Linked DNA regions of Kluyveromyces lactis. The main gene of each other region encodes a partner of the protein of the gene in region 7 in a complex. Links are inferred from orthologs where the notes say so. Each region holds a gene or a part of one and is shown on either strand. Other genes may lie near its edges.

Region 1 (3,817 bases), on a different chromosome or scaffold from region 7:
TGACGGATCAAGTGAATGGATCTTTGATGCCTGTTATTACTAAGTATTACAATGTCACCGAGCTTCAAATGTCGATAGTGTTTTTCCTTCAATTGATGGGCTATGTGTCGGCATCGGTCTTAAATGATATTTTGCATAAAAAATGGGGGTCTCGAGGCGTAATGACAGCATCATGTATACTTGCTGCATTTACCTACTTGGTTCTTGCCCTAAAACCATATTCGCTCTATCTTTATGCGATATGCTTCTTTCCGCTAGGTATGTGTGTTGGGTTTGTTGACTCTACAGGTAATTTCTACTTTGGTAATTTAGAGACTAGAAAGAATGAATGGATGGGTTTGCTTCATGGAATATACGGGTTGGCCGCTGGTGTAACCCCACCATTAGTTACAACCTTCGATCATTATTTGGATTGGTCTTATATCTTTTGGGTCCCTTTGGTGTTTGCTCTTGTGGGGTTGGCACTCTGCATGGGGGCCTTTAAATACGAAACTGCTACCAAATACAGATACATCTGTGTAGGAGTCCCCGATGAATCAGGTGGTATTGAAAATGAGGAAGAGATAAAATGGTACCAGTTATCGAAGTATCCTCCGATGATTTTCTTGTATGCATTTTTCTTATTCTTGTACTTAGGTACAGAAATTGGTGTTGGGACATGGCTATTCACATATTTGTTGAATTATAAGAAAGGTGAGAAGTTCCTTATGTCATTTGTTACTGCGTCATTCTGGTCTGGGATCACTATCGGTAGATTAGGTCTTGGTTTTGTTACAAAAAGGTTCAAAAATGAATACAGGTCAAGCGTTTGGTACGGTTTGACTTGTTCATTGTTTTTTTTCCTATTCGTTATCATCAATCTAATCAATTCCACATCGACATTCTATTTCTTTGTTTTATCGTTGATGATCTTTGGCGCTGGTATCTTCATAGGTCCCTTGTTCCCTAACGCAAGTGTTGTTGCAATCCAAATCCTACCGAAACATCAACAAGTTAGTGGTATTGGTACAGCAATCGCTTTCGGAGGGTGTGGTGGTGCATTAATAACATACTCTTTTGGGTTTGCAAACAAGATTTTTGGGTTCCAATACTATCCATTTCTATGCTTCCTTGGTTCTTTGGCATTCAACATAGTTTGGATGCTCTACCCGAAAATTATCAAAGGACATAGAGAGTACTTATAAATTACTCAAGCTCAACAGATATGAATATCGTGCCGCGCATGGAAATTATTTACTTATATATAATAGGGGAATCGCTCCTACTTCTTAACGGACATATGTATTTTAAATCCATACTACAGAAGTAATTGAATCAGCTTCATTCTTATGCTTAAGGTCTGCTGCACGTGATCTATTTTTTTTTCTTTACTTGAAGCAACTTCAACATCGAGCTGGCATCAAAAACTACCGAAATCAGAATATTACTTGCATTTAATGATATTGAGAGGTAGGAAATGCATAAAACATGTATCAAAAGACACGGCCAACGTTTCACATTACGAAACTTAGGTGAACTACTATTCATACTGTTCTCAGAAATTTCAACACAGCCTGGTCTCAGCTTGAAAAAGACATAGCATGGATCCTAATACCGAGGGCACCACAACTAAAAAGTATACATCGCAAAGACGAACAATTGACATTTCTGCATCTTATGATAGACTATATTTCTTGAAGAAGCATGGCCAGGAGAATTCGTCATATATAGAGGCAGAAACCTCATATAATGCTCATATACTACCGCCAGATGCCTATGGTTTTCATGGGCATGCCATCAATACAGCAACCAAATTTACGCATCTTTCATCAAATAAGGTAAAGCACGTTATTCCGGCTCTTACGTGGACGCCAGAAGGAAGAAGGTTAGTGGTAGCTACATACAATGGAGAGTTTTCATTATGGAGTGGATCCAGTTTCAATTTCGAAAGTATTATGCAGGCTCATGATAGTGCAGTAACCGTGATGACATACTCACATACAGGGGATTGGATGGTTAGTGGTAGCGCTGATGGGGAGCTTAAGATCTGGCAACCAAACTTTAATATGGTTAAAGTCATGGACCAAGCACATATGGAATGTGTAAGGGAAATATCGTTTAGTCCGACCGACCAGAAGTTTGTCAGTTGTTCTGATGATAATGTGTTGAAAATATGGAACTTTAGCAACGGACAACAAGAAAGGGTGCTATCAGGCCATCATTGGGACGTCAAATCATGCGACTGGCATCCGAAGATGGGTTTAATCGTATCAGGATCCAAAGACAATCTTATCAAATTCTGGGATCCGCGTAGTGGTAGCTGCGTATCCACCATGCTTGGTTTTAAACATACTATCATCTCGACGAAATTCCAACCCAAACAGGGAAACTTACTATCTGTAATTTCGAAGGATAAAACATGCAAGGTATATGATATACGACAACAGGCTAAAGAGCTTTTCAGTGTTCGTGATGATGTCGACTACATGACATTACAGTGGCATCCAATCGATGAAACAGTGTTTACCGTTGGATGCTATGATGGATCTATAAAACATTTCGATCTATCCCAGGAAAATCAGCCAAACAAACCTACACACAACATTCCATATGCACATGAAAAATGTGTTACATCATTAGCATATAGTCCAATTGGTCACATCATGGCTAGCGCCTCGAAAGATAGGACTATTCGATTCTGGACGAGATCGAGAGCAGTCGATCCAAACGCCTTTGATGATCCAACATATAACAATGAAAAAGTTAATGCTTGGTACTTCGGTATCAATAATAACATTAATGCTGTCAGAAACAAAACAGAACACGGTGTTGCTTTGCCACCAAGTGAAGACTCCAATAATAATGAAAATGGCGACGGTTCCAGATCAGTTGAACCTGAGCGACCATCTGTCAGTACTTTACCAGGTTTGGGATCAGGATTACCAGGCCTAAGTTTTTAAGACAATTGAAAGTCATGGAAATTATAGCATCAATATTATTTAAGCAGATTAAATGTAAATCTACCTTTTCTTCATCATTAATAAGTAGACTGTATCGATTGAATAAACTAAAATAGAGGTTAACGAGTAAAATACTATACTAAATAGGTAAAAAAAGAATCAGTAGTTGTTGAATATATAAAAGTGTTAAAAAGAACCGAGAAATAAAAACAAAAAAGTGTTAGGAGGTCGTTACAATTCCAGTCGCTTAATCAACTGGCGGTCAAAAGGTCATTAAATTTATAAGATATCATTTCGTCATTAATATTTTTTTTATAATTGGTGTATCAATTGGCAAGGAGCACTGGCATTCAAACTCTAATAAATATAGCCAAATCATATGGTATAAGAGATTACAACGTTTGTAGATAAGTATCATTGATACTTTCGTGCAACGTCATTATATTGGATTTTCGGACATTTTCATCTATGGCATCAGATCTATCACGGGAAGAGGATGGTTGAGGAGAAGTAGGGGACGATGTCCCATACTTCAAAAATTCGTTAGCCTTTTCGATGTATCCGTATCCGTACATTTTAGAATAATTCTCCATGAAATATTCCATTGTATTGATAAGTTCTGCTGTATCGGAACAGTATTGCGAGGGGAAGTAGTACATATTACTATCGTCTGCAGAAAATTGTCCTGCGTTCATGATATGGAAAAAGAATAAACCGAAATTTGGATTGTGAGAACCTTCGTTCACTCTTGCATTTTCTTTGCAATAGTGGTCGAATTCGCTTCTGCTGAATTGAACAAACTGCGAATGATACTGTTGTAATCTTTTTGCGAAATCTTTCACAGCAAATTCGTAAGGCTTATCGTAATAATCCTGATT
Region 2 (5,015 bases), on a different chromosome or scaffold from region 7:
AATATGATTGTATCAACGTAAATTGAGTTTGAATAAACCAAATCTTCCCATTCTGTATTCACTGGACACCTGTAAGACCTTAGGTTCCCAAAAGCACAATCGATGAACTTGACGTTACCCCAGACACTGTTACTAAATTCGACACATAGGGATCGAATGTTGCGGCATTTGATGTTCTTGAAATTGGCTTCTGAACACATTGGGGATGCCCTGATTGTCAAAGATTCTCTCACGAAGGATCCATCAACAAGATCCCTTTCAGTGTTACTATTGTAACTGACGAGAGTTAAATGGTCGCATGGTGGTAATACAACTCTCTTTCCTGGTGGCACTTGGAATTTTTCAATCGTTTTAAGCAGGGGACAGTATTGTAGATCATCGACTATTGTAGTGTTATCCTCACATTGCAATTGATTCACTGTCATAATCCTAGGTGCAATCACTTTCTTACCCCTTCTTATGTTCAAAGTGAACAGCGTTTCCACGTCATGTAAATAAGTAGTCTCAAATATCGTGTCGATATCAAACATGTCAACTTCCTGGTGATTAATATCTCGGTTGGCGAATATATGTAATTCACATAATCGTAGTTGGCTTTGACAATGGCTTAGCTCTCTGAAATAGAACTTGGAAAGGAAATTGGTAGTCGTCTTATACATGAAGCATAGATTCTTTAGAGTACCCATCCCACTTAGCCCTCTACTTAATTCACATAATGCCGTCGCCAATGGGTCACTGTAGCAGCGATCGGATACGATGACAATGAGAACGTTGTCAAACTTCCGTAGAAATTCGCTCAACACAGGAAACTTGAACGTATCTGTATTTACGCAAGCGGTGTTTCTCTCATCAGATAACAACTCATAATTGCAAGGATCTGCTAAGGTTTTTGATGATTCCCTATCCAAATCCCAAATCTTCAATACACCAAGCTTGCGCTTTATAATTGTTCTAAAATGTGAACCAACCTTACTCCATGCTAACAGACTCTCTAGACTGTCTAGTCCGCTAGTTACTACACGATCAATAATTTCGATCGGAAGACTCATTACTTTTGTACCCTTAAATCTTCTTCTCCTCCTTCTTATCATTAGCAAATCTGTCAAAAGTGTCAACTAATGCAGCTTATCTTGCACGTTGTAAACTAGGTCCTTATAATTCAACTGATTTCAAGTACGCTGGTATATCCAAGATGCCTTTAGACTTCTTCCAGTGTTTGGGTCAGTTGAGCAATCTGTTCCGTAATCTGTCGCTTTATTCTTTAATATGCTGACTCAACCTCAAAGAACGTTCGGAATACATTTTGACACTTAAAGTACCGATAAAATTGTGGATTTTGTTGCCTATAATTGTAAGCAATGAAATATGTTTGATATTCCACCTACTGGACCGTACCAACCTACAGATTGCAGCAGTATCTCGTCCAATAACAACTTCCCTGTCTCAGTTTGGCCTCTTAATCCTTCTTACTGACATTATATCTCATTACCCGGACATAACATGTCAAAATGATACTCAAGGCATCAACATTAAGTTCATTTAAACAGTACATGCAAATAATTGAAGAATGAAGGATAAAGGAAGAAGAAGAAGAGATTGCCGGCACTGAGGACACCTTTTCCTTTCCCATTCCAACCAGTGGATTCTCATTGTTTTTCAAATATAGAAGTAACTGTGCTCTCAAGATGACATACACCATCGAAACATGTAGGGATGAGAAGAAGCGGTTTGAGGGAACCATTGTACGATTCAACAATGTAATAGTATTATTGGACCCAGGATGGAACGGTGAAGGCAGTTATGAAGAATGTGAAGAGTTTTGGACGCAGTACATATCTGAAGTTGACATTGTTCTGATTTCCCAGCCCACAATTGAATGCCTTGGGTCCTATGCCATGATGTTTAAACAGTTTTTGCCTCATTTTAGGTCGAGAATTCAAGTTTATGGGACGTTACCTGTATCAAATCTAGGCAGAGTCAACAGTGTTGACCTTTTAACTTCAGTTGGGATATTAGGACCGTTTTCTAATGCCGTCATGGACCTAGAAGATATTGAAAGCTCCTTTGACTTGATTGAAACGGTGAAATACTCTCAAACGGTGGATTTAAAGAATAAATTCGATGGGCTCTCATTAGAAGCACATAACTCAGGGTATGCTCCCGGTGGTACCATTTGGACGATAATCACTTCATCAGAAAAAATATTGTATGCGCCTCGTTGGAACCATACAAGAGATACTATCTTGAATAGTGCGGACCTATTAGACAATACTGGAAATCCAACCAGTTCCATGATGCATCCGACTTCTGTAATAACCAACCTTTCTATTATAGGCTCAGCTGAACCTCAGAGGAAAAGAGTAGAACATTTCACTGATACCATGAAAAGAGCTATACAAATGAATAACTCTTTACTGGTACCAGTTGAAGTAGGAGGGAAACTATTGGAAGTACTAGTCCTAGTTAACAATTTCTTATATGAAAATATGAGGGGTGGATTGAAGTATGATATTCCGGTGTTTCTAATATCTTATTCAAGGGGCCGTTCTCTCACATATGCTAAATCTATGTTAGAATGGTTGTCCTCGCAAGTAATCAAGACCTGGGAATCTCGAGACAATCGGTCTCCATTCGATGTTGTATCTAGATTGAGGATTATTACTCCTGAGGAATTGGGAGGTTACACTGGGCAAAAGATCTGTCTTGTTTCCGAAGTTGATGATATTTTGTCACAAACGATAAACAAACTTTGCTCTAAAGATAAAGTAACGATCATATTGACAGAGAGACATCCAAATACCCCAGCACAACATCCCTTACGAAAACTTAATGATAAATGGCAACAAGCAATAAAGAATGGGAGTAGAAGTGCATTGGATGGCAACCCCATTAGCATATCTGATTCGATGTCACTTCGAATCATGAAGAGAACAATTTTAAACAAGAAGGATGCGGAGAAGGTGAGAGAAATGATTAAAACTAGAAATGAGGTAAGAGAGAAAATTATCGAAGAATATACGGCTAAGACCAATGACAAAGCTCAAACAAAAACAATACTTTTTGATGTTGATGATGAGAGTAGCGACGAAGAAGGTGTGGATTCAATGGATGCAAGAGGCAAGAATGGATCGGGAAACGTTAAAGTGGAGATTCCCGTAGATATTACTTCCAATGATAGTGTTTCCACAAATGAAAAGCACCTTATGTTCCCATTCCATCCAGCAAAGCTTAAATCTGACGATTACGGTGATGTGGTCAACTTAAAGAGATTCTTACCACAGGAAGAATCATATGACCAAGCACAATCTTTAAAGCAATCTTATAGTAATAACGATTATGATGAAGACGATGACGATGATACATATGAGGTACTTGATTCGCGGATTAATAAATCAAAGAAAAGAAAAACAGATCATAATCCTAGGAAACAAGAAAATAATGATGATATTTCTTACTTGGACCCATTGAAAAGTGACATTTATAAACGAGCAATTGTGGAAACAAAAGTTAACATTCGTTGTTCTTTGGTATATATCGACTTGACAAGCATAGTTAATGCGCGGTCGATAGCAATCATCTGGCCTGCAATCAAACCAAGAAAAGTCATTGTGCTGCCATCAGCTGCTCCTGTTGATAACCAAGTCGTGGTTAATCTAACAAAGAGAAATATTGACATATTGGTGACTGAGTTCAATAATTCGGTTGAGATGGATACATCTGTCAAGGCAATTGATATTTCTATCGATCCATCGCTCGACCAACTTCTAAACTGGCAAAGAATCAGTAAATCTTTCACTGTGGCACACGTTGTTGGTAAACTATTGACAGAAACTGACCCAAAAGCCCCACATCGGGAGAAGGTTATATTGAAACCGTTAAGCAACCCGTTAGCTTTACATTCTGGAAGTTCTCTAAGAATCGGAGATGTTAGACTACCGGAATTGAAAAGAAGACTAACTGCGGAAAATCATAAAGCTGAGTTCCAAGGTGAAGGTACACTAGTGATTGATGGCAAAGTTTTGGTTCGGAAGATTAATGATGCCGAAACCATAGTTGATGGTTCACCATCGGACGTATTTTACAAGGTCAAATCGGCAGTGTCAGACATGCTAGCCAACGTTTAAATTGTTCGCGGAAGCTTTCTATAAACGTGACATCGACTTAGATATTAATTAATTATAGTAATTTAGCATTGTAGTAAAGCATTTATAGATCAGTTGTAGAGCTGACCAATGGGGTATGTATGTCGGGATTCAAACATCTATTCTAGGTCTGGCATTCTTTATCTGGGGGGGTTAGAGGGCAAAAAATATACTCCGCGACGGGGAATTGAACCCCGATCTCGCACGCGACAAGCGCGAATTCTAACCATTAAACTATCGCGGATCTGTACTTGAGAAATAGAAAAACTTTGCACTACAGGTTCGCTCAACGGTTGCAGAACACTGATTTCGTTGGAACTAGTCATAATGCATGACCGGGTGATACCAATATAATAGGCGGTTAATGATAGTTTTGTGTCACTGACACATAGCAAAGTATATAAACCAGTACTCAGATCTAATCTACTAATTAGTAGGGATCAGATCTACAGACACCAGGTGCATCTAATTCTACTAGGAGATAGATAGCTAATCAAGATGAATTCTTCTAATAAAGATCTGACAAGATCTAAGCCACGTGACATGTACAGTCATATACCACAACAGGTAGCCCGAATATGAAACTCAGAAAATCCCGATATTCCACAAATACGACTCCGTGGCCAAGCTGGTTAAGGCGTGCGACTGTTAATCGCAAGATCGAGAGTTCAATCCTCTCCGGGGTCGTTTAATTTTTTTCCCCTTTTGCTATCTGTTGTTTTTTTTTCCTTTCCTATTTCTCACCTGTTGCAATTTTTCTGGAATTCCCGCTTAAAGATTCTTTTTTCCTCTGAGAAGTCTCTGAGAAGTTTTTTTTGTTTAAAGTTTTTCCCCTTCGAAAAGAGCGCTCGCTTGTTAATTCGCTTGAGAGTT
Region 3 (3,744 bases), on a different chromosome or scaffold from region 7:
TGAAAGAGATTGATGATACCATTGCTAGCGTTAAAAAGCTCAAATCTTCAAGAGATCGCAAGAAAGGGTGGCAGGAGGTCAAGGCATTGAGAAAAGAATTGAGGCAGAGAGAGAAAAGTGGGCTAATTAATATAATTTTAAAGAGCAAAATTGTCGTTTGCACTTTACACGGTTCAAGTTCTCGAGAATTGTTGAGTGCGTATGATCTACAATCCAAATTGTTCAATACTTTGATCATTGATGAAGTTTCACAAAGTTTAGAACCTCAGTGTTGGATCCCTTTAATCTCACATTTAAAATCAGATATGCAAAGACTCATAATAGCTGGAGACGACAAGCAGTTACCTCCAACGATCAAAACTGAAGATAATGATAAAGTAAAGCGCTTGTTGAGTACTACCGTGTTTGACAGATTATTGCAACATTACGGCAACGAATTTAAGTACTTGCTAAATGTACAGTACAGAATGAACGAAGAAATTATGCAGTTTTCTTCTAACGAATTATATGACGGGAAATTGAAAGCAGATGACTCCGTTGCGAAACAACTGCTAGCAGATTTACCAGGTGTTGAATCGAACGACAACACTACTTTCCCATGTATTTGGTTAGATACTGAGGGAGACGACTTTCCAGAAAGGTCTGATGAAAATGACAACGATGCAGACGATAAGTTCCACCTAGTCTCTTCAAAATACAACGAAAATGAAGCATATTTGGCATTATACCACGTTGAGCAGTTGATAAAGGCTGGTGTTACGGAAGAAAGTATTGGTGTGATCTCCCCGTATAATTCACAAGTATCGCTGTTGAAAAAACTCATCCATGAAAAGCATCAAGCAATTGAGATATCTACCGTAGACGGATTTCAAGGTAGAGAAAAGGAGTGCATCATCCTATCTTTAGTAAGAAGTAACGAGAATTTCGAGGTTGGGTTCTTGAAAGATGAAAGAAGATTAAATGTCGCGATGACCAGACCTAAAAGGCAGCTTTGTGTCATCGGTAACATGGAAATGTTATCGAGATGTCGAGTGCCATTCCTAAATAGATGGGTGCTCTGGGTAGAGTCTGGCTTCGAAGTCATATATCCAGATCCCAGTATAATTCATTCGTTATATACGTAGAAATCTACAGTTTCATCTGCAGTGACAAACATGCTATATTTAGGATTGAATGCAATAGTTCTGGGACATGTATTTGGTGCGGCGTTAATAAATCCTTGAGGTTTGAGCGTCCTACCACTGATGAAGTCTGCGTGGTTCCATATCGCGATCTTCCCAGTGTAATCAGTTCCCAATGTAATGCGTCCATCTGGAGTGAACGTTGCGGATCCAGAATCCATGAACTCTCTCAATGGGAAAGGTTTAGTTCCTGATAATTCAAATAACTGTGTACCATCGAAGGAATCCATGATCAAATGTTTTCCAGCGGACGACGCAAGCAACAAATATTTACCATCGTTTGAAAACTCCAATTTATTCCACTGATCAAAGCTTGGATCCACATTTATAACTAAAAATGGGCCCGCCTTCAAATGTTTTACGTTATATAAACCGACTTCATGGTTCTCAGGGTTACCAATGGCGAACACAAGCCCGCTTGGATCGTAAGCAATGCATGTGGGGACTAAACTTGGTATAAGGGCCTGTGCCTTGGAGCTTCTCAAATCCCAAAGTCTTACCGATTCGTCATACGATGCAGACAAAAAAGTATCATCCAACGGGGACATTTGTATATCGCTCACTAGAGCACCATGGCCCTGGAAATATCTAAGGTATGTGTTTGTTTCAAGATTCAAATGCCTTATGTCAAACGATTTCATAGTGGATGAATAGATACATTCTGATTGCGCATGTGTAAACTTTGCGGAATGACATCCGTATTTTTTAGAAGCGATGGTATTCAAAAACCTGCAACTTACTGCATCATATAGATGCATATTATCACTAGCAGTTGCAGTCAACAAGTACTGGCCATGGTCATCAAATGTCACTGAAGTTATAGGTCCCAATTCTTTATCAGAAACTCTGAAGGACTTCACAGGCTCAAATCGTAGAAGATTGCTCTTGGAAATGCTAACAGTCATATTTCCTTTCTCAGCTAACTTTTAGATAATCACAGAACTGTTGCTAAACCGCTGGTGTCCCGTTGAGCTTCTCTTTTTGTCTCCAAATTGGTAATATTTCTTGATGGTGTTAACAGTTTTATTTAAATTTAAATGTTCCTCGAAATTGTAATGACATCTGTCAAAGAAATCAATAGTGTTAGTCACTTGCAGGTAGAGAAATAGAGCCTTTCTGGTCTTACTCTGGCTTTATAAAGAACTGACATATTTGAGATTTGTAATAAGAATCATGGGTGTACGTACCGTTCATTTTTTTGAAGAAGGTGGTTAGATACACCACCGTTTTCATCAACGGACTTTGATTTACTAACTAAAAGGTAATCTTAACTGCATTTATCAAATTCCAATCAGGTTAAAGATATAGTTCATTACAGTATTGACTTAGCGTTGTTGTCTATGGTATTGGCTGGATTGCGTAGAAGTAACAATTATGTTGTCGCTTATGAAATGTCTGACTTGAAGAATTATATTAAACGGTATCTTGACTGGGGAGAATACTTATTCGATAAGTTGGCTAACATGGCTGAAAGAAGTGCTTATTTTAGGAAACAGACTCCTTTTGACAAGTTCTTGGATCATATGGAAAGAAAGCGTAACCTGTAGTTACACCAATAACGTTTATTCAAACATACATACTAATATATAATATTCAGTTCTTTTTAGTGTCTTCTATCAATTCATATCAAATATAAGATAACTGGAGTGAATGCCATCAAGACGCCGGCGTTTAACTACTGGTAATTGGTGAGTAGTACAGCTCTCCTTATTTTTGTTGATGCTTTTTCTATTTCTTTTAAAATAAAACCTTTAAATCATGATTTACTTGTGTCCTGTTAAACACCACTGTGTCAATGGCAATAACAGACATTAAGAGGCTGTTCACAAAATATTTTTGGAGACAGTAGGCTTTACAAGTAAGATATGGGGCTTGGAGAGTTTATGTATGGCCTTGATGCCTTCAGACAACCTTCTGCACCATCCGATTTCAATAACATTCCTTTGATAAACAATCTACGAAAAGAGCTTCTGCAAAGCAAGACAAGCAGAAAAGGGAAACCGGTGAGTTGGAACATTGATAAAGATACCAAGAGACGGATCAAGCCTGGGAAGAGATTGATTCCTCTTGCGGCGTATACTTGCCATAGTGAGAAACCTTTAATTGCCAATAATGACGGAGATGTGTCTGATTCCAATACCATTAACATTCTAGATAAATCGACACTATTGCTGATAAGATCTCTTGGCTACTCAAGTTTGCGACCTATTGGCATTGATAAAACCCTAAAAGAGATCGAAAAGGAGAAGGGAAGTAAACAGAACAAGCAACAAAATGAACACAATTCAGGGCAAGAACCAATACTTAATGCCTACCAAACTTCCTCTTCATTTATTGTGTCAAATCATAATCATCAACATACAGAACAATCGGTACTGCTGACAGCACAAGTTGGTGAACAATCTGAAGAAGAGTACGATCAAAGTTATGATTACGATAACGAGTATGCGGAAGTTCACGAACAAGGATCTATGCTCGACAGAACGAGAGGTACGTTTGTTGAGGATTCACAATTAATTGATACAAGTTATACCAACCGGTCAAGATCCAGGCATTCAAATGT
Region 4 (3,910 bases), on a different chromosome or scaffold from region 7:
AGTGTTTTTATAACTTCTATTCAAGATCTCTTCTGCCACATCAGTTCCCATATTAGGAAACACTGAAGTATCGACGCTCAATTTTATTGTTTTTGGGACTAAATGGTTCCTCCTTGGCTTTGCAAAAGTGACTTCAATCAATGCAGTATGATCCGGCCATGGGGAACCATCATCTTCTGCTTCCATATTCGTGACATCAAGAATCTTTGCGTAAGGAATAACCGTATTTGAAGGTAGCAGCAGAGCTTCATTCTCATCTTTAGATTCCGTGTCGCTGAGACAAGTAACACAACTGATTAACGAAGCTGTTTCAAAAACACTAGATTGGAAGCTCCCAGAAGCATCGCCGTCTTCGTCATCCTCGTCATCGCCGAAATCACCTCCATTACTTCTGCGTGCCAAAAGCGTCGATGAGCTTGTTGAAGGACCGGACGTAAATTGATCTTTAATCAATAAACCATTTTCGCCAATGATGGCTCTTGTATAGGGCAAATGATACTTCCTGCTCAGCTTACTCATTATTCTTGCAGCCCTCTGTTTCCTTTTTCTCAGATGAAGGGAAATATCTGAATCAGACTCTGATCTCTGTTTGGACCACAACAGTTTTGGCAACTCAACAAGAATAATTAACTACCTCTTTTCCACCTTTACGTGAAAATAACGCAAAACAAAATCAAAAAAAAAGAGACTGATTCAAAATTGAGATACAGTCAAACAAGATCAATGACTATGTCTTCTGTTATTCTCTGATGAATCCTCTTATCAATACCTAGCTAATAAATCACAGGGGGTATGTTTTCGGGATGACGGATATATTACTGTTCCTTTCAGTTCAGTTCGATTTAATTTGATATATCTAACTTGAAAACGGAGAACACCAAATCGTTGTCATAAATATGATAAATGGAAACGTTTCTTGGAAATGATAATAAAGTATAGTACTATCCACCAGTTAAACTAGAATTCTCACAGACAAATTCTCTAAACAAATTTCCTAGGTTCACGATGCTTATATAAGAACCGATGCGCAATGCTTTTTTTATCAGACTGTCTTCTTGTCTAGATAACAAACCACGAGAGTAGATCCTTAGAACAATTTTCTTAAATAGTAGAGGCTTGATTAACAATACTCTGGCTGATATTGGATGTGGACAGAACAGTTTCTTATTCATCAATCATATCTTTACGTTTTAACTTCGAAGGCTTCCTGATTTTCGATTTCATGTAAATCTAAGAAATACAAAACAAAAGAAACATCAGTTGGCACGTGATATATAATCAATTATTACCCGGATATTGTTCTTATATGAATGTTAACTTAAAAAGATTCTAAGCATCGTTAAAGACTAACGGCCATACTAATGAATTAAGAAATCTGCTGTCGACTAGAAAGAATGAATATGTAATTATGTATGTTCGTAACGATTCATTGTGAGGCAAAATAATACTAGTTACTAGACACCAGTCAGATATTTGCGATAACAAGTTTGCAATTTAGAGAATACATATATATATCGAAACGGTGAAATACTCTTAAGTTGGTTTCTAACTAAACACAGTCAAAGTATGCATGACCCACAGAAGGATCCTCGTACTAGGAAAAGCAGGCATGAACTGACCCCGCACAATCTTTCATCTACCATACGTTTTACTGACATACCTGCTCAGTGGAACAAGGATAACTTCACATCTGTGATAACTGGTTCTGGATATATAGTTGACGTTAGAGAGAAATACGTGGATGAGGTCGAAGAAGCAGGAGAACGAGAAGGGGGAAAAGGAACTGGAGCTGGAGCTGGAGCTGGAAGTGAAAGAGGATGTCTTGAATGGGTAGATGTAGATTTCAGGGACTCTTCCTCCGCCAATAGGGCCCAAAATTCAATAAATAAGATAAACCATTTCCCATGTAGGATGTCCATGGTGATTCCCAAAGATTGGAAAGAAAAGTTAGAGAAAATAGACCAACTGAAACCGTTAGAGTTCACAAGAGACAATTTTCCCTGGGATTACAAATTAGAACTACCGTTTGAAATGGTAAGTGAGGTACCTTTACCAAGAAAGCCGTTGCCGGTGGTGCAACCAATAACAAGTGACGCAGGAAGCACACTATCCTCGGAGAATAACACTGCATCTACGAATGCTGCCTCGGATAACCTTGCCTCGAAGGCGAACGAGGCACCGGCACAGCAGATAGAGATCCCAGAGATCTTAGCACGGGCATCAAAGCATCTACCAGCATACCAACCGGGCTCGATGACTGCACCGGATGTGGTATCTCAAAATCTATCGAAGATTCCTACGTTACAAATGATCGAGATTCTATCAAACTTGAAGATCTTAGCCAACCAGCATAACAAGAAGCCACAACTGGAACAATTCTTGAAGACTAACATTGACTTAACGGTAGCTGTCACTCAGGCAATGCTAGAAATGGGGTTGATAAACTATCACGTGATATCAAATGTTCTAGGCCAAATGCAGGGCCAACATTCTGTTGGACCCACGCCTGCCGCAGCCGCGCCTACAGTACCAACTCTGCCGCCAGTTCAACTACCTGAGCCGTCTGTACCCCAGACGGCTCAAGGCATTAACAGCGGTGGTAACGGTACTGGTGGTGATATTACCACCACCGCTACAACCAACGCTGCCAACACCCCACAGCAGTTCAACGAGGCAAAACTTTCGCTACTGCCGCAAGATCAACAGAACATGATCAGAACTGCGCTTTCGATGCCCATAACGAACATAATGGCTCTTCCACCAGGCCAGCAACAACTAATACAGCAACTCAAAAACGACTACCTTCTATAGATAATAATAATAGCAATAACAAGAAAAATACATAGCACAATTCCTATCTCTTAGTCATCCATAATGGCTCGAAGGCTTTCTTTCTATCTATAGTGTATACCACCGTGTTTCCCAACCTAAAAGTTCCGCGCGCAAGTTTTCCTCTTTAACGACTTGGCTCATACAGGAAACTGAAAATGGAAAAAGCTGAAATAACCGACATTTCAAAACAGGAAGATGTCAAATGCATGCGGCGAAATGAAGGGAAACGAACGTCGAGGGAAATGTCTAAGGAAAGCGCAAAGGGAAAGAAATGCCGAAACGATTGGGCTACTATTCGAATGTTTTGGCGGTAGCTGCCGCCCTCCACAGCAACACGGAGCACTTTGTGTCAGGATCCTTTGGAGAGATTAGATAGATATTTGTTTATGTGCGTGTGTAAAAAGAAAAACTTGTCAAGTCCTCTCTTGCAGTAATCCGTTTCTGTTTTCAGTATGTTATATCAGGTATCATCAGTGCCGATCTGAGCTGATAAGGAAGGAAGGAGGAAAGGAGGGAAGGAGGAAGAGAGGGCAGAAGAGGTTTCCGTCGCAGTTTCACCGACCTATTCGTTAAAATACCTATTCGCTGCTCTTAATTTTTTGAATGGCGCGCGGATAATTACTACAGCGTAAAACACTGTGCTTATTGAGCTTAGAGATCAATGAAAAAAAAGTGCTTATGAAATTAAAGCAAGGCGATTCTTAAAGGGAGCGCGGGACTATACAGATGAGGTGCACATGAATCATGGGAAAAAAAATCGTATATAAATCCATGGGTAGATTGTTCTCTCTGAACTAGAGGAACCAGTTTCTATAATTTACATGTTGTTTGTAATTGTGTTTTTAGTTTACACCCAGTCCACAAGCACAGAGTAATCATTTGAATTAGGAAAAGATGTCCGTTGCTGCTAAGTACTACCCAAACGAACCAACTGAACCAAAGGTCGTTACCTCAGAGATTCCAGGTCCTGAGTCCAAGGCTAAGGTCGCTTCTCTAGGAGAAGTTTTCGATTCTAGACCAGCTTATTTCGTTGCTGATTATGCCAAGTCTTCTGGTAACTACATCGTTGACGTTGACG
Region 5 (4,773 bases), about 460 kb from region 7:
ACTCCCAATTTTATATCTATACATTCATGTTCATGGAAGCTCCCTTGGACTTCAATAACGCCTGCAGGTAACAAACCAGCTTTGTTTTTCCTCGTTAACGCTTCGTATGCACCAATGTCTATAATTACAGCGCCTTGACTGACGAGTCCATGAAGCATCCAGAATTGTCTGTTCTTCAAGTGATGATGATTACTATTGGCAATAAACCTAGTATGAAGAGGAACATGATTATTAACTAAACTTTGCATCTCAGTGAGTTGTAGGTCAGCCAAATCTTGTGTAAGTTCATTCACGCCATCGTCCCTTTCCTGCATGTAGAGAACAATTTTGGAAATGTTTTCTGGAGTGTCGCTCTTCATAATGATGGTATGGACACCAGCATTGGTTGCTAATTCTGCCGCAATAAGCTTAGTCTTCATACCACCAGTTCCAACATCTGATCCAGATCCACCGTCTGTGTTCACACCTGGCAATCCTTGTGATATATCTGGAACAACCAAGATAGGTTTTGCATCGGGATTTGCTCTTGGATTATCAGTGTATAAACAGTCAACATCTGTCAATAAAAATAGATAATCAGCACCAGTCAACGCTGCTGTGATAGCTGATAATGTATCATTATCACCAAATTTGATTTCGCTCACAGATAAAGTGTCATTCTCATTAACGATTGGCACTACTCCCATGGAAAGTAATTCACTAATAGTATTCTGTGCATTCTTATACTGAGTCCAATCAACAATGTCATTTCGAGTAATTAGGATTTGAGCAATTCTCTGATCAAATTCAGAGAACAAGGAATCCCACCTCCCAATTAATCTGCCTTGGCCCACAGCTGCGATTGCTTGCACCTTGGATAGTTTCTTTGGCCTTCCCTTCATATTCATCGTTTTCAATCCGACGGCGATACCTCCACTAGATACAATGATAACTTTGTGTCCTCTTCTGCGTAACTTTACCACAGTCTCCACAATCAATGACATGATAGAAAGTTTTGGTTCTTTGGTCTCTTCATCAACTAGTGATGAAGATCCCAATTTTATGACTATGACGAACTGCTTTACCATCTGAACTTGTTGGAAAACGTTCTTCTTCTCGCGGTCCGTAGAAACCTTTGGTTACAGAAATTTCAGGCCAGATTGACTAATAGCTGCTGCTCACAGACAGTACACTATGTTTATATCTGTTTTGCAGATGCAGTTATTCATCTTTTCAAATGGTCTGCAGATGTCATCGAAACATTTACTTTCAGTTTCTGTGAATTTTTAAATATTCACCGGTTCTTCAAAATATAGGTAACTATCATTACTAAGAACACTGGAAACAGACGAGCGTAGGTGGGCATACTAGCACTCTTCAGTCACACCTGAATCTGAAACGTTTAAATATCGGGGATAGATAATAAATGAACGTTTTTGACGAGATATTGCAACCCACTGTGGTTAATAAATGCTTACATGGGAATTTTACGTCAGCGGAAAGGGAAGAATACGTTGTTGCAAGAACCAATGTTCTCTCTGTATTCAGGGTCTCGCGAGCACAAAAGCTTGTACTTGCATATGAATGGAAACTAGCAGGTAAAATCATAGATATGCAATTACTGCCCCAAATTGGATCGCCTCTTAAGATGCTTGCAATACTTTCGTCGAAATCCAAAGTATCGTTGGTAAGGTTTGACCCAGTGGCAGAGAGTCTTGAAACACTAAGTCTGCATTATTATCACGACAAATTTGTCAATTTAAGCACTTCTTCTTTGAAGACGGAGTCCATTATGGCAGTGGATCCATTGTTTAGATGTCTTCTGGTTTTTAATGAAGATGTTTTAGCTATATTGCCATTGAAACTGAACACAGAAGATATGGAAATTGATGAGGATGAGAACGGAATAAAAGAGCCAATGGCTAAACGCTTAAAAAGGAACCAAGGAATCACATCCGATAGTATAATAATGCCAATTTCTAGCCTTCACAAGAGTCTCAAGCATGTCTATGATATAAAATGGTTAAATAATTTCAGCAAGCCAACTGTGGGAATATTATATCAACCGGTACTTGCGTGGTGTGGAAATGAAAAAGTACTTGGAAATACTATGAGGTACATGGTTTTGAGTTTAGATGTCGAAGATGAAAAAACCACCGTGATTGCTGAGCTTGCAGATCTTCCGAACGACCTGCACACCTTGGTTCCACTGAAGAGGGGATATGTGTTGATTGGTGTCAATGAATTATTATATATCAGTGCATCTGGTGCACTACAATCGTGCATACGATTGAACACATTTGCAACGTCTTCAATCAATACAAGGATAACTGATAATTCTGACATGAATATCTTTCTATCAAAGAGTTCAATATATTTCTATAAAGCTTTGAAAAGACATGATTTGCTTATTTTGATAGATGAAAACTGCAGGATGTACAACATTATTACAGAATCAGAGGGTAATCTACTTACCAAATTTGACTGTGTACAAGTACCGATTGTTAACGAGATCTTCAAAAATTCAAGATTGCCGTTGTCGGTATGTGGTGATCTCAACTTAGAAACTGGCAGAGTTCTTATAGGTTTTCTCTCAGGTGATGCAATGTTTCTGCAACTTAAAAACTTGAAAGTGGCATTTGCAGCAAAACGACAACTTGTTGAAACTGTTGATGACGATGACGATGAATACAGTGCACTTTATGGAGAGTCTCAAAATAATACTCACACCAGAATCGTCGAAACACAAGAGCCTTTCGATATATCATTGTTGGACTCCATTTTCAATATCGGTCCTCTAACATCTCTTACTATTGGTAAGGTCGCATCTGTTGAACCAACTATTCAGAGACTTCCCAATCCTAACAAAGATGAATTCTCAATTGTAGCTACATCTGGAGTTGGGAGGGGATCTCACCTCACTGCATTGCATTCCACTGTCCAGCCCCACATAGAACAAGCCTTAAAATTCACAAGTGCGACCCGTATCTGGAATTTGAAAATAAAGGGAAAAGACAAGTATCTTGTGACTACAGACGCTGATAAAGAGAAAAGTGATGTATATCAGATTGATAGAAATTTTGAACCTTTTAGGGCGCAAGATTTTAGAAAAGACAGCAGAACCATCGGCATGGAAACTATGGACGACGATAAACGTATTTTACAGGTAACTTCAGGAGGATTATATCTATTTGATGTTGACTTTAAGAGGTTAGCAAGATTAACTATTGATATCGAAATTGTTCATGCGTGTATTATTGATCCATATATTCTATTCACGGATGCTAGAGGTAACATCAAAATTTATCAACTAGACTCTAAAAATAAAAAAAAATTCATCAAATTTAAGCTTCCAGAGGCTCTCAATGAAATTATCATCACATCTGGTTCCATTTTCAAGAGTAACATTTGCAACAAATTCCTACATGGATTGGAAAACTCTTCACAAGAACAGCTTCTCTTCACATTTGTAACGGGCGACAATCAGGTTATTTTCTTTACCGAAAAGCACAATGACAGGATATTTCAGTTAAATGGTGTCGATCAGCTAGAAGACATGCTTTTTATAAGTACGTATCAGATTCCTGAAGAAATGAACCCGGACCCATCAATAAAGCAAATCATGTTAAACAGATTGGGCCATCATAAGAAAGAAGAATTTCTAACTATTCTTACGTTTGGTGGGGAGATCTATCAGTACAAGAAGTCGACAAAGCACAGCGGTAAACTCTTAAAATGTAAATCCCATCCTCTAATTACCGGTGCTCCTAACAATGCATACCCTCAAGGAGTTAATAAAATAGAAAGGGTTGCTCATTACTTCCCTAACTACAATGGATATTCAGTAGTATTTATTACTGGTCAAGTACCATATATCATAATCAAAGAAGATAATTCGGTATGTCGGATATTCCGGATGACTAATATACCTATTGTCACAATGGCTAGGTGGGGTAAAAACTCTGTGATGTGCGTAGATAATATTAAAAATGCAAGAGTAATGAAATTAGATCCTGAATGTTATTATGGGAATACTCAGATTCTTAGAAAAATCATTATTGAAGATGTTGTTGAGGAATTTGAAACTTTAGGAAATATTGCGTACCATGAACGGACCGGAATGTATATCATCTCCTATACCAAATTCATCGAATATCAAGCTCTAAGTGAAGATGGTGAGCCCCTTGTAGGTTACGATCCAAGCAAACCAAATAGTACTGGGTATAAATCTGGACTTCTTTTGATCAATCCACTCACGTGGAATATCATTGATCGGCTTGACTTGTCTGAGAATTCCATGGTAAACGACATTAAAACCATGCTCATTCAGTTGAACTCAAAGACTAGAAGAAAGCGGGAGCTGGTCATTATCGGAAGTTCTTTTGTAAAAGAAGAAGATCAGCCTAGCACTGGCTGTTTACTGGTTCTGGATATAACAGAAGTGGTGGCCGAACCAGGCAAACCAGATAGTAATTTCAAGTTTAAACAGCTCTTTGAAGAAGAAATTCGCGGATCTGTGAATGCTGTATGTGAAATAAGTGGGAGATTTATGATCGGCCAGAGCTCAAAAGCGCTTGTTCGTGATATGCAAGAAGATAATTCTGCTGTTCCCGTAGCGTTTTTGGATATGCCTGTGTTTATTACCGATGCAAAGAGTTTTTCTAACTTGATGATAATAGGAGATTCAATGCAGGGATTCACTTTTGTAGGTTTTGATGCAGAGCCATATCGAATGATTGTATTGGGTAAAAGTACCTCCAAATTTCAAGTCATGAACCTTGAGTTTTTGGTGAA
Region 6 (3,290 bases), on a different chromosome or scaffold from region 7:
ATTGAGCCTCTGGAATTTATCAAGGTAGAGGTGCCATTGTTCGTTCAATTAGCAAAGTGTATTTCTTCGCCGCATTTCCAAGTAGCAGAGAAAGTGCTAAGCTATTGGAACAACGAATACTTCTTAAACCTCTGTATTGAAAATGCGGAAGTGATACTTCCTATAATTTTCCCGCCCCTATACAAACTAACCTCACAACTGGACAAGAATGATCCGTTGAGTTTAGAGGATGGTGATAATGGTGAAGATCCGTACTTAATGGTCGAGCAAGCCATAAATTCCGGCTCATGGAATCGTGCCATTCATGCAATGGCTTTCAAAGCATTGAAAATTTTCCTTGAAACGAACAATGTCTTATACGAAAATTGCAACGCACTTTACATATCTAGTTTGAAAGAAAACAACAGACGTCAAAAAGAGAGGGAAATGAACTGGAAACAATTAGAGGATTACGTTTCGAAGTTGAAGATCGCAGAAAGTTGAAAAAAAGTGACCACTATCATCCTTACGGACTCACCATCACCAAATCATTATTATCGTCTTCATTATCATCATCATCACGGTAAAAGTTATGTATATACTTATATCTACGCGTCTTTTTCACCGAACATAGAATTGTTTCCGTATATATCAGTAAACGACAAATGATTTCCAACCCAAATAGGAGGCCTTAATTTACATATAAAATAGTAATAAAGGTACTACTTGACTGATAACTTGCCGCTTATCACTTTCTAACTGACAATTCTATATATTCTTTTTTATAATGACTGTCACCCAAATCCTATTCTTTTCAGCATGTTGGGTTTTGTATGATTCTTAAATTTCAACATCGGTTGAAAAAAAAGGGTCGCAGGCTCCATCGTCAGTATGGCTATATAAAGAAATATTGAGAAGTACGTGCAAATTGCTATTGAGTTAAGAAAACGACAATTCGTAGACAAAATCACTGTTTATAATTTAATCTTTCGATAACGAAGAAATTCGGTTAGAAATCAGTCTCATTTAGTTCAACTCAGAATTGTGTTTTATATCCTCGAGTGAAGACAGACCAATCGACATAATAGGTAAAGAATTAGGAAAGATGTTCAGAACAGCAGCAAGAAACCTTGGCGTGCCATTAAGAAGAAGTGTTTATGTTGGATTCAGCGGTAGTTTATTAGTCGGTGGTGGATCGTTGTTGCACTCGATGCAACCAAGCTCATATATCATGAACGATTCAATTGTTGATGTTAAGCAAAGAACGAATCTACCACAAGAGCTTGGATTGCCAAGCCGTGTTGATATAAGTTCGAAGCAAAGAAGAGTCAACTACAGACAAATGTGCTACGGGTCAATTTTAGGTCTAGTGTTCGGTGTTATCTTTGGTAAGATATCAAGTCTTCTCGTGTTCATCACCGGGGTTGGATTCGTTGGGTTACAATTCTTGCAGAACAGGGGAGTTATCAGCAGTGACAGCACTCGTTCTCTTTCCAAATACGTTGTGACCATCGGCCGTGAGAGGATTGATTTGAACACATTGATCTGGGACAAACCCAGCTTCAAAGTCTCATTCATCTTGACATTTGTGCTAGCTGCACTTAACGTCTGATTGGTTCCGAGAACGCTACCTTATTCAGTTCACGTGACTTTTTCTCATGTGAAAACCCAGAATATCCTATAACGTTATATTTAAGAATTAGTAAAATAATTATTGTGTGTAACTCGCTTGTAACATGATTAATTACCAATCATCAAAGACATTTTCATAAACGACTGGTAGGCTACATTAGACTGGGTTGTCAAGGAGATAAGGGAGTTTAAACTAATGAGTATAGTTCATCCAGATACCTCGAAGTACGAGTTTAATTTCGAGCCATTTCTACGGAAAGAATATTCGTTCTCGTTAGATCCAGATAGACCGGTATGCCAATACTATAATTCAAGAGAGGGGATAAAATCCTGTCCCAACGGAGCACGCTGTCCAAACAAGCATGTGCTACCGATATTTCAGAACAAGATTGTTTGTAAGCACTGGCTCCGAGGTCTCTGCAAGAAGAACGATCAATGTGAATATTTACACGAGTATAACCTAAGAAAGATGCCCGAGTGTGTATTCTTCACCAAGAACGGGTACTGTACACAATCACCGGAGTGTCAATACTTGCACGTAGATCACAAGAGTCAGTTAGAAGAATGTGAGGATTATAATATGGGGTTCTGTCCATCGGGACCTGCATGCACGAAGAAACATGTCAAAAAGGTACTTTGCCCCAGATACTTGGTAGGGTTTTGTCCACTGGGTAAAGATTGCGACTGGTCGCATCCCAAATTCAAAGTACCTTCAGAACACAGCAAACTGCGCATCAAGAAAGACGAGCATATTAATACAAGAAAGATGGATGAGGAAAGGGAAAGACGCTTGAATGCCATTATCAACGGTGACATCCTAGTCACGTGACTGAATTTTTTCAGTTTTCATCAGTGCGTTCGTTCTCAGCCACTGCTGCTGTCACTATTCACTATTCAGCTCACCATACGTAATTCGATACAGATACAGATACTAAGTAACATAATACTACACAATGTTACAGCCGGATAATTCTATCAACCGACAGCAAAAGCAACACACCTGAAAAATTAAGGGAACCAAGGCTCACATACCTTAAATTGCTTATCCAATAGGTATCAGACCTCTCAGCCAAAATCATTCGCTGAGTTTCATTTATGGACACGCGGTCGACATATTCCCCAGTATAGAACACTCCATTCCACAGTTTCTTTCGGTTTCTTTTTTTTCTTGCAATACTGATAAGCATTAACCCTGAGAGCGGACGCATGAATGTACACCAGGCAACAGCGTGAGTTCTTGAAGTCAGTTTTCTAATACACCTATAACTGGCACTAGCCAGCTACTGGGATGGCAGTCTCGCATCACAGCAAGGCTGTCGACCGGTACCTCTTCGTCACTTCGTCTCTCCTCTGCTGCTGTCTATGAACCAGCGAGGTTTTGCTCAAAATGGAAAATGAAATTTTCGACGAAAACAAACAGAAATAAAAAAAAGGGAAAAGGGTAAAAAGGAAAATTAATGGAAGCAAGGTTTTTCCAAAGCAACTTCCGGCCACTTTTAGGAGAATTGCCATTGCATTTGGTAATTTATTTGTATATATATATAACACTTCTATATTTAAAAGTAAGGTTACTATTGTGATAATAACACGCAAGCTATTAATATTGAACATACGCTCAGTTATATAGAGTTCATTTGATCGAGTAATAGTTAAAAAAAAAGATAAAGACACCATATATT
Region 7 (5,008 bases):
CTGGAAGAGCAAAGAGAAAGAAAGCGTAAACAAGGTGTACTTCAAAAGACTTCTGTTCCAAAATCTTTATCACATTTGCTTGTTAAGGTAGAGGATGAAGATGATGGAATCGATGACAGCAAAATAACGACTTCGAAAGCCTCATTAGCTCATAGCCCCGATGAGTTAAGCAAAGTCGACACTCGTTCCACTTCTGAGATGGTAACACCACCAGAACAAGTCACTGCCAGGAACAAATACATTGTCAAGAAGCCTGCCAATGTCACAGAATCCGACTGGGAAATATTCCAGCAGCAAGCATTTTTGCAACAACATCAAGCGCAGCAAAATTTACAGGCCTACCTTTCTTCATTAAATGGTGCTTTCGAGAATAACAATGCGCAAATGATGCAATCTGCCAATGGGATGGGGTCTCATGTGAATAATAGGACAGCAACTACTCTGCCCCCTCAACAAAATCAAAATTCATTAAATCCCATCACTCAGAATCATCCTTCACTGTTTAGTGGTGGTGCTGATAATAAAGCATCCGTAACTTCATCTGACATGTCTTCCCCAACCGGCTGGCAACACGGAAATGCAGACATTTTCCAAAAAAAGCAACCAGCCAACTTTGTAAAGTCTCCTAACACACCGTTGCACCCAATATCATTCTCCGTCGGTCCTTCACCCAGGCCGAACGATAATGGTATAATCTTCAATAATGGTACCCATACGATGATCAACAACATCTCCACATGGACCAACGACTCGGTTTTGGATTTGATGAACAGTAATCATTACGTAGATCCACTGAATGGAGGCAACAATATGGGCAACCTAAACGGATCTTTACAATCATCAGCGACAACAAATGATCAAAAGACTTTTGTCATGCCCAATCGAGACAACAATCCTGGCACTCTGAATAACTCCCTGAATTGGAGAAACTCTTCATTTACCAACATGAATATGAACTTCAATCAACCAGATAATCAGCAAGGTCAAAGACCACCGCAACAGCAACAACAACAGCAATTGGAAGCTATGTTGTCAGTTCCCGTTGAAGAATTTTGGACCGTTAACGACGATTATGGATTCCTCACTTGAAGCCTTCAATTCAAACGTTGAACACCTCTACAGAGGATATTCCCCGTAATTAAAGAAAAAAATACAACCATTTTTCATACTAAGTGTTAATGTCTTATGTTTCCGTCATTCCACAACATTTCGTTTTCATTCTACTCTTTCCTTTTAATTCAAAGAGTATTCACTCGTTTTTAGTTGTAATATATATCTAGCAAAAAAATTTGTGTTTACATACATTCTGCAGTTTAATTCGTTTCATTCCATTTTACCAACACACTTGCAGTAATTTAGCCAGATGTGACCTGATCCAAGTAAATAAATCTAGTCACGTGACCTATCCTGTTCCCTTTACCCTTTGTTTCATTCTGATATATTGTCGATCAGAAATTCTACATATTATTATTTCAACATCTACATAGTAAGGGAAAACAATCAGTTTAAGATAGGTGTTAGAACCCGACAAGCAGCAAGATTCTCACTAGAAACAGTACGTAACGACATTTGTTATCAAGATGTGTTCTCAAATCATCTTAGGTTGCCTTCAGCCCTCTCTTTACTAACTTTTCGTTATCAATATCTACCTCTACTCCCTCTGTACACCAATATGCTATTTCCTAGTTTCTCACTTTTTTCTCACTTTTTTCTGTAAGACATTAAAACCAGTTAACGTTTATTGAAAATCTTAGCAATTCAACATAAAGAAGAGTGTCCTGTCCAATGGTTACCGAGCAACCTCTGTTGGTATTCGGGCACTCATAACAGATATCGGGGGGCTCAAGCAGACAGTAACTTTTGACGTGTTTGTGAGAGCATTTTGTCTGTCCTTTGCATTGTCAAGAAATGACTCAATTGGAAAATGAGGTTCCAGACAAGGACCATCTTCGCTTTTTCTCACTAGGAGGATCCAATGAAGTGGGGAGATCGTGTCATATACTTCAGTATAAGGGCAAGACTCTAATGTTAGATGCAGGTATCCATCCGGCCCATCAAGGTTTAGCTTCATTGCCCTATTACGATGAATTCGATCTCTCCACAATCGATCTTCTTTTAATCTCACATTTTCATCTTGACCACGCGGCATCATTGCCTTATGTGATGCAACGAACGAATTTTCGTGGTAGAGTATTCATGACACATCCGACCAAAGCTATATATCGTTGGCTTTTGAATGATTTCGTCAAGGTGACCAGCATAGGAGACAGTCCAGGACAGGATTCAAGTAATGATAATTTATACTCTGATGAGGACTTGGCTGAGTCCTTTGATAGGATAGAAACTATTGACTATCATTCCACTATGGAGGTAAATGGTATTAAATTTACAGCGTTCCATGCAGGTCATGTTCTTGGAGCAGCGATGTTTCAAATTGAAATCGCTGGTGTTCGTGTATTATTTACTGGTGATTATTCAAGAGAAGTGGACCGTCACCTTAACTCTGCTGAGGTACCACCTCAGTCTTCGGACGTCATAATTGTGGAAAGTACATTTGGTACCGCTACTCACGAACCAAGACAAAACAGGGAAAGAAAGTTGACCCAGTTAATACATACCGTGGTATCTAAGGGAGGACGTGTTCTTTTACCGGTGTTTGCCCTTGGAAGAGCTCAAGAAATCATGCTTATATTAGACGAATATTGGCAGAATCACAAAGAAGAACTCGGAAACGGGCAAGTACCTATCTTTTACGCATCAAATCTTGCTAAGAAATGTATGAGTGTCTTTCAGACATATGTTAATATGATGAATGACGATATTCGTAAAAAATTCAAAGATTCTCAAACAAATCCATTCATCTTCAAGAATATTTCTTACCTCAAGAATTTGGATGAATTCGAGGATTTTGGTCCCAGTGTCATGTTAGCATCCCCAGGTATGTTGCAAAACGGTCTATCTAGAGACATTTTAGAAAAATGGTGTCCAGAAGAAAAAAATCTGGTTCTTGTCACTGGTTATTCTGTAGAAGGTACAATGGCAAAATATTTGTTACTAGAACCTGAGGCTATTCCCTCGGTACACAACCCTGAGATAACTATCCCAAGACGTTGCCAAGTGGATGAAATAACATTCGCTGCTCATGTTGACTTTAGGGAAAATTTAGAATTTATCGAGCTAATTGGAGCTAGCAACATCATTTTAGTTCATGGCGAATCCAACCCAATGGGTCGTTTAAAATCAGCCCTTCTTTCTAATTTCAGCTCTCTCAAGGATACTGAAAACGAGGTTCATGTTTTCAATCCTAGAAATTGTGTCTTTGTTGATATTGAGTTCAAGGATGTTAAGGTTGCCAGGGCAGTTGGGAAAATTATTGAAGATCTCGATGAGTTTATAACTGAAGAAGACGCACTAAAGAATGAGAAAAGAATCACGGAAATCCATGAAGAGGATCCAGAAACAGAGGAAAGTAAAACGGAAATTGTCAAAGAAGAAAATGAGAAAATAGTTTCAGGTATATTGGTGTCAGATGAGAAGAATTTTGATCTAAGTTTAGTTTCGCTTTCAGATTTAAGAGAACATTATCAACAATTATCTACTACAGTTTTGACAGAAAGACAGACAGTCCACTTGGACTGTAAAAGCGAACTAGTATATTGGCATATCTGCCAAATGTTTGGTGACGTAGATGTATACATTGACGAAGAAAACGTCTCATTGAAGAACATCAATCCCGAATTCAAGACGAGGAAGATAAAGAAGGGTGAACTAGAAATAAAAATCATGGGAGATGTAATATTAAATATAGTTGACAATGTAGCTACATTGCAATGGACTCAGAATGTTATCAGTGATTCAGTCGCGGATAGTGTCATGGCAATTCTACTGAGTGTCGAGAGCGCTCCAGCAAGTATCAAAATGAGTTCGAAGTCATGTGGACATCATCATGGACACGATGATCACACGACTAAAATTAAGAACATATCGAGAGTTTTCAAGGAACAGTTTGGTGATACTTTTACATTATTTTTGAATGAGGAAGACTCCAAAGAAGAAATAAAAGGCACTATCAACTTAGGAAAAACAACAGCATGTATAAACTTCTCAAAAATGGTTGTGGAAGAATGTAACTCTAATCCATTGAAAGGTAGAATAGAGAGTTTATTAAAAATTGGCTCCGACTTGGTGGCCCCATTGTGTTAATCTGTCTCATATATAGATATGATTATATATGAGCTAGTCATTAATCATCTTTTTGCATTAACTATATACTTTTCAACCCTATACTGCCATCTTGCCAAGGTGTTCCTCTGTACTAAATAATCTATTAAAACTTTAAAGATGCATTCAAGTTTCAATTAACTGAATGAACATATCGTTTTCGACAAGTTACAAAAGACACCAAGAGGACAAAAAACCATTTACTAAACTACTAAACGCGATATATATATATATATTCTCATTATAACAGTAAATTTTAAATCAATCTACCAATACCATGGCAAAATCAGAGCTACAGTGAGGTATTTCATTCACATTGCCAATCCAGAAGAGACAAGATAACTCAATCACGTGACTCATAAATCCTTTTGCCTGTGTAGTTTCTTTTTGCACCTCAAGAAAATTTTTGGGAAGCTCATCTCATCTCATCCAGAGTCTGAACGTACAAGAGCTGTAAAACAGGCTAAATGGGTCTCAACTATCAGCAGCATTAACCTTTTGATCGAAACTTACAACCGAGGTTATAGTTAAAGTGTTCGACGAGAGCTAGAGTCCAGAAAAACGCTTCAATATGGCTCAAACAAGCGCTTCCCAGGGATACATTGATGATTCTTCTTCTTTCGATTCGTTCCACTTGGATTCACGTTTATCACAAGCCATCCGCAGTATCGGCTTCAAACACCCTACTTTGATCCAATCCAGTGCGATACCATTAGCTCTTCAAGAGAAAAGGGATATCATAGCGAAAGCTAGTACCGGCTCTGGTAAAACTTTAGCATATTTGATA

The links.
Region 1: YSH1 (region 7) and PFS2 share a complex: the UniProt entries of both Saccharomyces cerevisiae proteins name them as parts of the cleavage and polyadenylation factor (CPF) complex. The link is inferred for Kluyveromyces lactis from reciprocal best matches to the Saccharomyces cerevisiae genes YSH1 and PFS2.
Region 2: YSH1 (region 7) and CFT2 share a complex: the UniProt entries of both Saccharomyces cerevisiae proteins name them as parts of the cleavage and polyadenylation factor (CPF) complex. The link is inferred for Kluyveromyces lactis from reciprocal best matches to the Saccharomyces cerevisiae genes YSH1 and CFT2.
Region 3: YSH1 (region 7) and SWD2 share a complex: the UniProt entries of both Saccharomyces cerevisiae proteins name them as parts of the cleavage and polyadenylation factor (CPF) complex. The link is inferred for Kluyveromyces lactis from reciprocal best matches to the Saccharomyces cerevisiae genes YSH1 and SWD2.
Region 4: YSH1 (region 7) and PTI1 share a complex: the UniProt entries of both Saccharomyces cerevisiae proteins name them as parts of the cleavage and polyadenylation factor (CPF) complex. The link is inferred for Kluyveromyces lactis from reciprocal best matches to the Saccharomyces cerevisiae genes YSH1 and PTI1.
Region 5: YSH1 (region 7) and CFT1 share a complex: the UniProt entries of both Saccharomyces cerevisiae proteins name them as parts of the cleavage and polyadenylation factor (CPF) complex. The link is inferred for Kluyveromyces lactis from reciprocal best matches to the Saccharomyces cerevisiae genes YSH1 and CFT1.
Region 6: YSH1 (region 7) and YTH1 share a complex: the UniProt entries of both Saccharomyces cerevisiae proteins name them as parts of the cleavage and polyadenylation factor (CPF) complex. The link is inferred for Kluyveromyces lactis from reciprocal best matches to the Saccharomyces cerevisiae genes YSH1 and YTH1.

What each region holds. Positions count from the first base shown.
Region 1 is NC_006041.1:644,186-648,002, forward strand, and holds PFS2 (cleavage polyadenylation factor subunit PFS2), read left to right. Parts: upstream 1-1,580; coding exon 1,581-2,939; downstream 2,940-3,817. Other genes in the region: BSC6 (Bsc6p), read left to right, coding at 1-1,184; PFK27 (6-phosphofructo-2-kinase), read right to left, coding at 3,332-3,817. UniProt on the Saccharomyces cerevisiae protein: Integral and essential component of the cleavage and polyadenylation factor (CPF) complex, which plays a key role in polyadenylation-dependent pre-mRNA 3'-end formation and cooperates with cleavage factors including the CFIA complex and NAB4/CFIB.
Region 2 is NC_006041.1:1,062,205-1,067,219, reverse strand, and holds CFT2 (cleavage polyadenylation factor subunit CFT2), read left to right. Parts: upstream 1-1,685; coding exon 1,686-4,124; downstream 4,125-5,015. Other genes in the region: KLLA0_E12035g (uncharacterized protein), read right to left, coding at 1-1,049. UniProt on the Saccharomyces cerevisiae protein: RNA-binding component of the cleavage and polyadenylation factor (CPF) complex, which plays a key role in polyadenylation-dependent pre-mRNA 3'-end formation and cooperates with cleavage factors including the CFIA complex and NAB4/CFIB.
Region 3 is NC_006041.1:1,606,713-1,610,456, reverse strand, and holds SWD2 (WD-repeat containing protein SWD2), read right to left. Parts: upstream 2,087-3,744; coding exon 1,106-2,086; downstream 1-1,105. Other genes in the region: ATP-dependent 5'-3' DNA helicase HCS1, read left to right, coding at 1-1,124; MCO12 (Mco12p), read left to right, coding at 2,355-2,360, 2,477-2,728; MND2 (Mnd2p), read left to right, coding at 3,047-3,744. UniProt on the Saccharomyces cerevisiae protein: The COMPASS (Set1C) complex specifically mono-, di- and trimethylates histone H3 to form H3K4me1/2/3, which subsequently plays a role in telomere length maintenance and transcription elongation regulation. Involved in mediating RNA polymerase II termination.
Region 4 is NC_006042.1:1,903,911-1,907,820, forward strand, and holds PTI1 (cleavage polyadenylation factor subunit PTI1), read left to right. Parts: upstream 1-1,566; coding exon 1,567-2,811; downstream 2,812-3,910. Other genes in the region: KLLA0_F20504g (sphinganine kinase LCB4), read right to left, coding at 1-519; UGA1 (4-aminobutyrate transaminase), read left to right, coding at 3,727-3,910. UniProt on the Saccharomyces cerevisiae protein: Component of the cleavage and polyadenylation factor (CPF) complex, which plays a key role in polyadenylation-dependent pre-mRNA 3'-end formation and cooperates with cleavage factors including the CFIA complex and NAB4/CFIB.
Region 5 is NC_006039.1:879,938-884,710, reverse strand, and holds the start of CFT1 (cleavage/polyadenylation factor CFT1), read left to right. Parts: upstream 1-1,405; coding exon 1,406-4,773. Other genes in the region: PRO1 (glutamate 5-kinase), read right to left, coding at 1-1,067. UniProt on the Saccharomyces cerevisiae protein: RNA-binding component of the cleavage and polyadenylation factor (CPF) complex, which plays a key role in polyadenylation-dependent pre-mRNA 3'-end formation and cooperates with cleavage factors including the CFIA complex and NAB4/CFIB.
Region 6 is NC_006042.1:760,158-763,447, forward strand, and holds YTH1 (cleavage polyadenylation factor RNA-binding subunit YTH1), read left to right. Parts: upstream 1-1,807; coding exon 1,808-2,440; downstream 2,441-3,290. Other genes in the region: protein phosphatase 2A regulatory subunit RTS1, read left to right, coding at 1-483; FUN14 (Fun14p), read left to right, coding at 1,085-1,591. UniProt on the Saccharomyces cerevisiae protein: RNA-binding component of the cleavage and polyadenylation factor (CPF) complex, which plays a key role in polyadenylation-dependent pre-mRNA 3'-end formation and cooperates with cleavage factors including the CFIA complex and NAB4/CFIB.
Region 7 is NC_006039.1:418,786-423,793, reverse strand, and holds YSH1 (cleavage polyadenylation factor subunit YSH1), read left to right. Parts: upstream 1-1,908; coding exon 1,909-4,203; downstream 4,204-5,008. Other genes in the region: KLLA0_C04620g (uncharacterized protein), read left to right, coding at 1-1,089; DBP9 (ATP-dependent DNA/RNA helicase), read left to right, coding at 4,793-5,008. UniProt on the Saccharomyces cerevisiae protein: Component of the cleavage and polyadenylation factor (CPF) complex, which plays a key role in polyadenylation-dependent pre-mRNA 3'-end formation and cooperates with cleavage factors including the CFIA complex and NAB4/CFIB. Has endonuclease activity.